2 linked regions of the Canis lupus familiaris genome follow. The protein of the gene in region 1 interacts with the protein of each later gene in a pairwise test. Links are inferred from orthologs where the notes say so. Each region holds a gene or a part of one and is shown on either strand. Other genes may lie near its edges.

What was found. The genes of interacting proteins can lie anywhere in the genome.
Region 2: the proteins of LATS2 (region 1) and MAP3K5 come close enough for resonance energy transfer, tested with the Homo sapiens proteins (2 studies listed by BioGRID, with this or other methods). The link is inferred for Canis lupus familiaris from reciprocal best matches to the Homo sapiens genes LATS2 and MAP3K5.

What each region holds. Positions count from the first base shown.
Region 1 is NC_049246.1:17,242,165-17,246,455, forward strand, and holds part of LATS2 (serine/threonine-protein kinase LATS2), read left to right. Parts: intron 1-1,226; coding exon 1,227-1,333; intron 1,334-3,955; coding exon 3,956-4,291. UniProt on the Homo sapiens protein: Negative regulator of YAP1 in the Hippo signaling pathway that plays a pivotal role in organ size control and tumor suppression by restricting proliferation and promoting apoptosis.
Region 2 is NC_049222.1:29,533,573-29,537,767, forward strand, and holds the start of MAP3K5 (mitogen-activated protein kinase kinase kinase 5), read right to left. Parts: upstream 2,801-4,195; 5' UTR 2,782-2,800; coding exon 2,358-2,781; intron 1-2,357. UniProt on the Homo sapiens protein: Serine/threonine kinase which acts as an essential component of the MAP kinase signal transduction pathway. Plays an important role in the cascades of cellular responses evoked by changes in the environment.

The sequences.
Region 1 (4,291 bases):
GTACATGCAACTACAAGCATTCAGTAGAATTAGTCTCCTGTGTGGATGCTCTGTTTTATCAAATACGACATTTGATTGAGTACGAGAAGAACCTTTCAGGGATCAGTTGCAGGGCTTTTAGTGACAGTATAATAAATCCAGAGATCGGTGGTCTGTCTTTTCACATGTGGTGGTCTGTCTTTTCACATGTGTTGTTTTACTCCAGTTTTCTTTGTCAGCTGTGGAAATCCAAAGCAAAGCACTTAACCACTCAGAGCCACAGGTATAACAATAACTACCTTGAGAGGTTGCTGTGAACATCAGCCTTACCGCACAGGAAAGTCTCATTGTCTCCTTCCTCTCACAGTGGGAGGTGAGAAGTATCTCCAGCACCCTAATGTGTGCAGTCCTGGAACTAGGGATCCAAGTTACCCTGCCACCTCTAGTGCCAGACCAGGGTGGAAGAGCTGGGGGATGGGGTGATGGGAGAACACAGCAAATGCTGCTGGCAGGTCTTAAGGCCCAGTTCAGGCTTAGCCAGGATCAGGTGACATCAAGACTGGAGCATGACTGGGACTAGGATGCAGAGCTCTGAAGGACAAGTGGGAGAAAATTGAAAAATGGGCCTGTTGTACTGCCTTGGTGAGGCTGGCTCGCCTGACCAAGCTGCAGGCGCCCTGCCGCAGCTACCGCACCTTGGGAGCTCCGTGAGGAAGGGCCTGGCTCTCTGAGTGCATCGCAGTAGGTCTTAGGAGACAGTTGTTTTCTTTGCCCTCCTCTTCATACTCCTCAACTTCTTCCAAAACAGACTTAGCAAGCCTCCCAGGGAAGCCCTCAGGACTGGCAGGTAGAGCACTTTCTGGTTTTCAGTTAGTCCTATTTTAGTTTATGTCTTTCAGTTCTTTAAGAACTGAAAATCCCGGTTAGTGATGTTACTAACAATAGGCTTTTAAAAGTAGAAAGTCTTATTATAAAAGCATCCTGTGTTTATTACAGACTAATTGTAGAAAATAAGAGAATACATGAAGACTGTCACCACCCTGGCAGGTGTCCCACCCAGCCTGCTATTCTGAGCCACACGTACAGGGAGGCACATTTTGTGTCGGTTGCTTTCCTTTTACATGACATGTGTGCTGCTTGAACATGCTTTCCCCTTCAACGGCAAATTAGCATTTGAGGATTTTGCAAAACTCTTCTCTGAGAAGAATGCACACCTGTGTGGAATTGAGTGAGACTTTGTCTTTCAGGATACACTCAGCTCTGTGACTGGTGGAGTGTTGGTGTGATTCTCTTCGAGATGCTGGTGGGACAGCCACCCTTTCTGGCCCCTACCCCCACGGAAACCCAACTGAAGGTAGGTACTAACCAGCCCATGCATCTGCTCGCTGCAAACACACTTGGTTTTCTGATGAACCCATGAGTCTCTGGTCAGCATTTGACCTTTAATTCTGAGTAGTGGAAGAGTGTCAGTTGTATGTTTTTAAATCATTATTATTACCTGTATAAAAAGTTTTATTTTAATAAGTAAAGCCACCAAGTTAGACCTGTGTTTTGATATCTATGTATATCTGAAGTTTTACTTGAACCATTGGTCATCCGCCATCTTGAACTATGAACAGGGAGAAGCAGTAAAGGTGGGCCCTATGTCCATTCTCTGCTGCCACACGTGCCTACCTGCAAAAAATACTGAAAACTTTATGAACTGTACTTGAAGAAATCAATTACTTCTTTGGATATTATACTACATTATACACTATATCCATTATTGCTTGCAGATTATCAGCTATGTGATTGGGCTAGTTGCACATTTTTCTAATATTGATTGGAAGTAATCATTTAATAGTAAATAATTAGTTTTGGAGTTATAACCATTATTCTCTGAAATAAATGATTTGATTTCTTAGGAAGGACTGAATTGAGAATTTGATAAAATCTTTGGAACATCTTTGAACAGTGCACTTACCCACCAAAATATGTGTTCACTAAAAATTCTTGAAGTATTCATAAGTCCCAGAGTCCATGTTAGACCCTAAATTAATAATCCCTTATTTAGAAAAATCCTGAATGAAGGCTTAGTTTTCACTCTGGTAACAATAAAAATGAAATTTGACACTATTTCTATCCTAATTGAATTGCCATACCATTCACTAATTTGCTTGTATGATAACTCAATTTTTTATTGTGATAAAATTTACCAGTTTAAACATTTTTAATTTTACAGCTGAGTGGCTTTAAGTGCATTCACAGTGTTGTACGACTGTAACCATAACCTATCTTCGATAGTTTTATCATCCCAAACAGAAACTGGGCTCATCAACAATAGCTCCCCATTCCTCCCACCCCCAGACCTCTCTTTGACTTTTTTCTCTGTGAAGTTGCCTAGTCTAGGTATCCTGTAAAAGTGTAATACCGTATTTGTCCTTTCACCACTGGCTTATTTCACTTTAGCATGTCTTCGAGGTCCATCCATCTTGTAACGTGTCAGAATTTCCTTCCTTTTTAAGGCTGAAGAATATTCCAGTGTATGTGTATAGCACATATATTTATCAAGCATCTGGTGATGAACAATTGGGCTTTTTCTACCTTTTGGTGATTGCGAATAATGCTGCTGTGAACATGAGTACATATACAAGTATCTGTTTGAGTTCCTGCTTTTGTTTTTGGGGTTACATGCCCAGAAGTGGAATGGCCAGATCATATGGTCATTCTACATTTAACTTTTATTTTATTTATTTTTTTTTTACATTTAACTTTTTGAGGAACCACCAAACTGTTTGCCACAGTGGCTACATGATTTTACATTCCCATCATCAGTGCTTGAGGCTTCCAGTTTCTTCACATGCTCATCAACATTTACTTCATTTGTTGTTGTTGTTGTTTAATAGTAATCATCCTAGTGGGTGTGAGGTGGTATCTCATTGTGGATTTTTTTTTTTTTTTTTAAGATTTTTACTTATTTGTTCACGAGAGATACAGAGAGAGAGGCAGAGACATAGGCAGTGGGAGAAGCAGGCTCCCTGTGGGGAACCCGATGTGGGACTTGATCCCAGGACACTAGGATCATGATATTATATATTCTGGACAGTAATCCCTGATCAGATATATATGCTTTGCAAATATATTCTCCCTTTCTGGGGGTTACCTTTTCACTCTGTTAATAGTGTCCTTTGATGCACAAAAGTTTTAAATTTTGATGAAGTCCGTTTTGTGTATCTTTTGTTTTGTTGCCAGTGCTTTTTGGTACCATATACAAGAAATTTTGCCAAATCCAATGTCATGAATATTTGCCCCTATGTTTTCTTCTGTGGCTTTCACAGTTTTAGATCTACTAAAACAACTACTCAAGTTTGAACCAGCCCTCCCACCCATACCCCACCTGCCTCCATGCCTTACCAATGCCCTGTCACCCCAGCCTGTGGCCTGTTAGCTTGGCCTTGCTTTATCCTGATTCTAAGTATAAATAATAGAGAAGTCTCTTAGGTTTTCTTTTCATAGCAGATGCATTTCATAACAAATGTATTTACTGAACATCCCAATGGCTGCTCTGTGTGGTTGACTGTCATGAATATGAGGCCAGGGCCATTGGTTCAGTCACCTTTATTTTCCTCTGTGAGGTTGTCTTTTTTTTTTTTTTTTTTTTTTTTTTAATAAAACCTCAGTTGACCATCTGTTGGCCATAATAATCACAAAATTCTTTTGCTAAACTCTTTTTCTGATAGAAGAAAATCAGTCTCTTTTGGTCTCTATTTGGCTTCATCACCCCCTGCCTCAGGCTGTGAGCCCTTTACTAAACCACACTGGCCTTTCCTAGCTGCTCAGGTTTGCAACTGCTGCTCCTGGGTTTGTTCTAACTGTTGTCCCGTCATGAAAGTAAAATTATTTGAAAGCCATGTCACCACATACTGTCTCAGAACTGCCCTAAACTGGCCTTAAAATGTGAAAAGAAAGGAAAATTTGGGTTCTGTTGTCTCGTCAGGTGATAAACTGGGAGAACACGCTCCACATTCCAGTCCAGGTGAAGCTGAGCCCCGAGGCCCGGGACCTCATCACCAAACTGTGCTGTGCTGCCGACCACCGGCTAGGGAGGAATGGGGCCGATGACCTGAAGGCCCACCCATTCTTCGGGGCCATTGACTTCTCAAGTGACATCCGGAAGCAGCCGGCCCCGTATGTTCCCAAGATCAGCCACCCCATGGACACCTCAAATTTTGACCCCGTAGATGAAGAAAGCCCTTGGAATGATGCTAGTGAAGATAGCACGAAGGCCTGGGACACGCTCACCTCCCCAAATAATAAACACCCTGAGCACGCA
Region 2 (4,195 bases), on another chromosome or scaffold:
ATATTTACCATCTGGCCCTTCCCAGAAAACTGTTTCCCTGGTGGAGGAGGAGCAAGCGCTCCCTCTGAAATCAGAAGAAAAGTTCTACTACCATCCAAGTTGGCAGCCGTCAGTTGAGAAAAACAAAGGATTTGGACAAAACATACCATCTTCATTTGGTCACATCTTCAGACTCAATGACAGGGCTCAGAGTTCATTACCATGAGCATAAGTAGGGGTTAAACTGGGGCCTGCTCAGGTTGAATGAAGCAATGGATGGGAGAGAGATGGCTCAGAATGGCTCAGAAACGAGTCTTCCCAAAGTGTCCTCCCCATGATTCACGCTGCACCTCAATGGCTCACCAGGTCCCCGCCAGCTCTCTATCACATGATTCCAAGATAGAGTAAATCAGCCCAGCTAAATGGAGGCAGCAGCAAAGATGACCTTTTAGAGTCAGCCACCTGAAATGGAACCCTGCATTGATCAGTTACTACCTGTAAGTCTAGGCCAGTTATAAAGTCCTTGGTTTCCTCATCTGAGAAGAATAAGAAGTACTTCCTTAATGGGCTTGTTTGGGGGATTAAAGATACAGTTCAAATGTCGGTCCCCTTGTAGTCTTCCTTTGTCTCTTTCCCACAAACAGTTATTTGGAGAACAAACAGTAACTGTGCCATGTTAGGAAACTATCTTCCAAATTAGCCTAGAGTTTAAGATTTTTTATTTTTTTAGAGTCCTATAAAAAATACAGAATCTATCAGAGCAATAAAAATAGGCTCAGTATTTGCTTGGGTGTTTTCCTCACATATCTTTCAGTTCTTTGAAGTTTCTTCCAAACTATAATCCAAAAATAAGAGTGCTATAATTTTTAGAAAAGTTACATTTATGCAATTTTTATAGCAAGCCACACAAAAAACTGAGCTATAATATATCATACTCAGGTTCAGTTCTGAAGACCAAGACTGTAAAAAAAATACCAGCACCAGAAAGCCCTGGTTTATTTAGTCTGACTTCTTTAACATGAAGTTCTTCTGGTTCTTAAAAATATTCAGTTTTGGCTGAATTCCAAAGCTGACATAAGCCTACTTCAGGTGTTTTGAAGAGACTGAAGAGAATCAGAACTGAAAGCAAGTTTGGAATATAAAACCTTTTACGTGATCACAAATGCAAGAATCTTATTGTTTGAAACCACTGTTAAATTTTCCGCCCACACTTAGAAAAAATAAATACATGTATGTTCTCATATTTGGTTGTACAGGGTACTAAAGGTTAACTTCAATAGCATGTTAATATTATTCCCAACTTTAGCAAGCAAATAGCTAATTGCATCAATCACTAGAACTGCAATGACAGTTTCTGAAATATGTGATACTTGAAAAGATAACTTTTTTATGGATTACATTGGCACTCTATTTTTTTAATTTTACATTTTATTTATTCTTTTAAGATTTTATTTATTTATTCAGAGACACAGAGACAGGGAGAGGCAGAGACACAGGCAGAGGGAGAAGCAGGTTCCACGCAGAGAGCCTGACGTGGGACTCGATCCAGGGTCTCCAGGATCACGCCCCGGGCTGCAGGCGGCGCTAAACCGCTGCGCCACCGGGGCTGGTGGCACTCCCTTTAAACAAACTAATTTTTAGTTATTAAAATAGTAAATATTTTAAACAATGTTAAATTATGTACTTTCCAGCTCATTGTGGTATATGGGGTAATAATATTCTCCCACCAAAATCCTAACAAAGACACCACGAAAGTTTAGTTCAAGTGACAAGGTTACTGCTTTTGGAAGTAATTCCTTAGAAGTTCAAATCGGTTAAGACTAGAACATCCAAGCTACTAAATATGTTCGAGTGAAAGGACTTGGGAAGATCACGACACGACATGCAAATGCGTATAGATAGACTCTGAGAGCAGCGGGCTGCGTGGTTCCTGTTCTCCCAACACCACACAGAGAAAAAATGAAAGCGTCATCTAAAATAGTCACAGGTGTATATATAGAAGGGAGAAATGGGCCAAACCTAGCAAAAGAGAAACCAAGACCCCAAATGGACAAAGGCTGATGGGGCCACTATCTCGCACTACTTTAGAAGTGAAAAGTTCTTGAGGAGGGGCCTCCGGACCGGCTCCAGCGCGGGCCGGCGGGTGACCCAGTCGGTCTAGCACAAGTACACAGGATCTTGCACCCGCACCCACTCTTCCCCGGGGGCAGCGAGCGCCCGGAGCAGTCACGCAGCGCCGCTCGCTGCCCCTAAGGTGGGGCAAGAAGTGGGTAAGGAGGAAGCACGCCTGCCGCCTAGGAAAACCTTGCCCCGCTGCGGGCGGCCAGGGAGAACGTGGCCCCTGACCGTGGAGGACGCGGAAGGGGCTGCACACGCACCTGCGTTGTAAAAGCGGTCCAGCACCGTGGTTTCCCCGAAGTCCAGTTTGCCAAAATGCAGGGTCTCCAGGGTGGCGCCCACCGTCTCGCACGCCTCCCGCAGGCTCTGCAGGGCCTCGCTCTCGGCCACCACCAGCTGCCCCTGGCTCGCTTCGTTGATCACATAAGCCACCGTGGTCCGTCGGCCGCCTCCGCCACCAGAGCTGCCCCGGCACCGGGTGGCGCTGCTCGCAGAGGTGGCAGCCGGACAGCCGGCGCCCGGGGCGGCGGCACTCTCCACGTTCCAGAAGCTGCCCGGCGGCGGCGGTGGTAGTTGGCTCTCCGGGCCCTCGGCCGGCGCCGCCGCTCCTCCCCTCCGGCAGCTGCCGCCCTCGGCGAAGGGTGGCACGGAGAAAGTGATGCCCTCGCCCGCCTCGGCGCTCATCTCTCCCGGCCGGGCTGCGGCGGCGGCGGCGGCGGCGTCCCCCCCCAGCCCAGCCGCACCGTCTGGCCAGCCACAGCTCCGGGCTGCTCCGCGCGCGCCGGGCTAAGCAGCTGCCATCGCGCGTCGCGCCCTCCGCACCGCGCCGCCGCCTCCTCTCCGGCGCCCTCTCTCCCGGGGGCACGCCGCTACCCGGCGGCGGCTCGCCCCTCCTCGGCGCCTCCGTGGCCGCGCCGCTCGCCCGAGGCAGGGTGTAGAGTACGAGCGGTGGGGACGCCAGGGTGAGCGGGAAGGGACCGCGCTTCCTTCTGCTGCCGGCAGACAAGTCGGCTCGCGAGCCCGCGCCGCCGTGCAGCTCAAGGGCGCCGCGCTCGCCGTGCGGAGCGCCCTGGCCCCCCGGAGCGCGGCTCCCGCTCCTTGCGTGCCGGGCGCTGGGAGGGGCCGGGGAGGGCGCCCGCTGGGTGGGGAGCTACCTGGCCAGCACCTCTCGGGCGAGCAGGCTCCCCGGGCTGCGTCCCGGAACAGCAGCCGCCGCAGCCGAAAGGACCCGCCTCCCTCCTCGGCGGCAGCTCCCCTTCATGGGCTCTAGTTCCTCCTCCTCCCCTGGCCTCGTTTCTCGCCCGAGCGCGCCGCGGCCGCTGCGTCCCAGCGCCAGCCTCGCCGCTGGGTCTCGCCGCTCCCCGCAGCCGCTCGCCCAGGGGGCCACCGGCTTCTGCCGCCCACTCGTCGCGGCCCCGAGAGTCAGGGCCCGCCCCGGGGGAGGGCGCTGCTGGGAAGCTGGAGCCGGGACGAAACCGGCCGCGCCGCGGCTCCCGGACCTCGGCCAGGCCCCGGGCTCGGCGCGGGGCGGGAGTGCTCCGCCGTCACCCACCGGACCCCCACCTAAGAAGACCCGGAGTCGGCCAAAGCCTGGAGCGCGCGCGAAGGCAGCACGGCGCACGAAAAAGAAAAAAAAGAAAAAAAAAGTCTCTCCGGAGAACACTCGGGGCTCCGGAGCTATCGGGAGGCTCTCGCCCCGGTCCCCGCAGCCAGGGCGCCCCCGTCCGGCGCCTGGCGGCCTCGCCCTGCGCGCGGTCTGGTTCGGCGCGCGGCGCTCCAGCGCTGGGCTGCGCCGAGGGGCCTGCGTTGCGCAAGGCCGGAGGATTTCCTCTAGCGCCCCGCCGCGGGGGCCTATATTGGACGGCAACGGGCGATCGATTCCCGACCGTGGCTGGCACAACTTATCAGGTCGGCCTCCGCTACTTTCCATTAAAAAAAAAATTGCACTGGCAATGTTATCGTTAATGAGTAATTGACTAGGCCTAACTGCTGAACGACTGAAGCACTCTCATTTAGGTTCTTAAAAGGTACCCCCTCCCGCGCACGCGGTGTCCTATGCTTTCAGGAGACAGAATAAGGGATCTATACCCCACTCCGC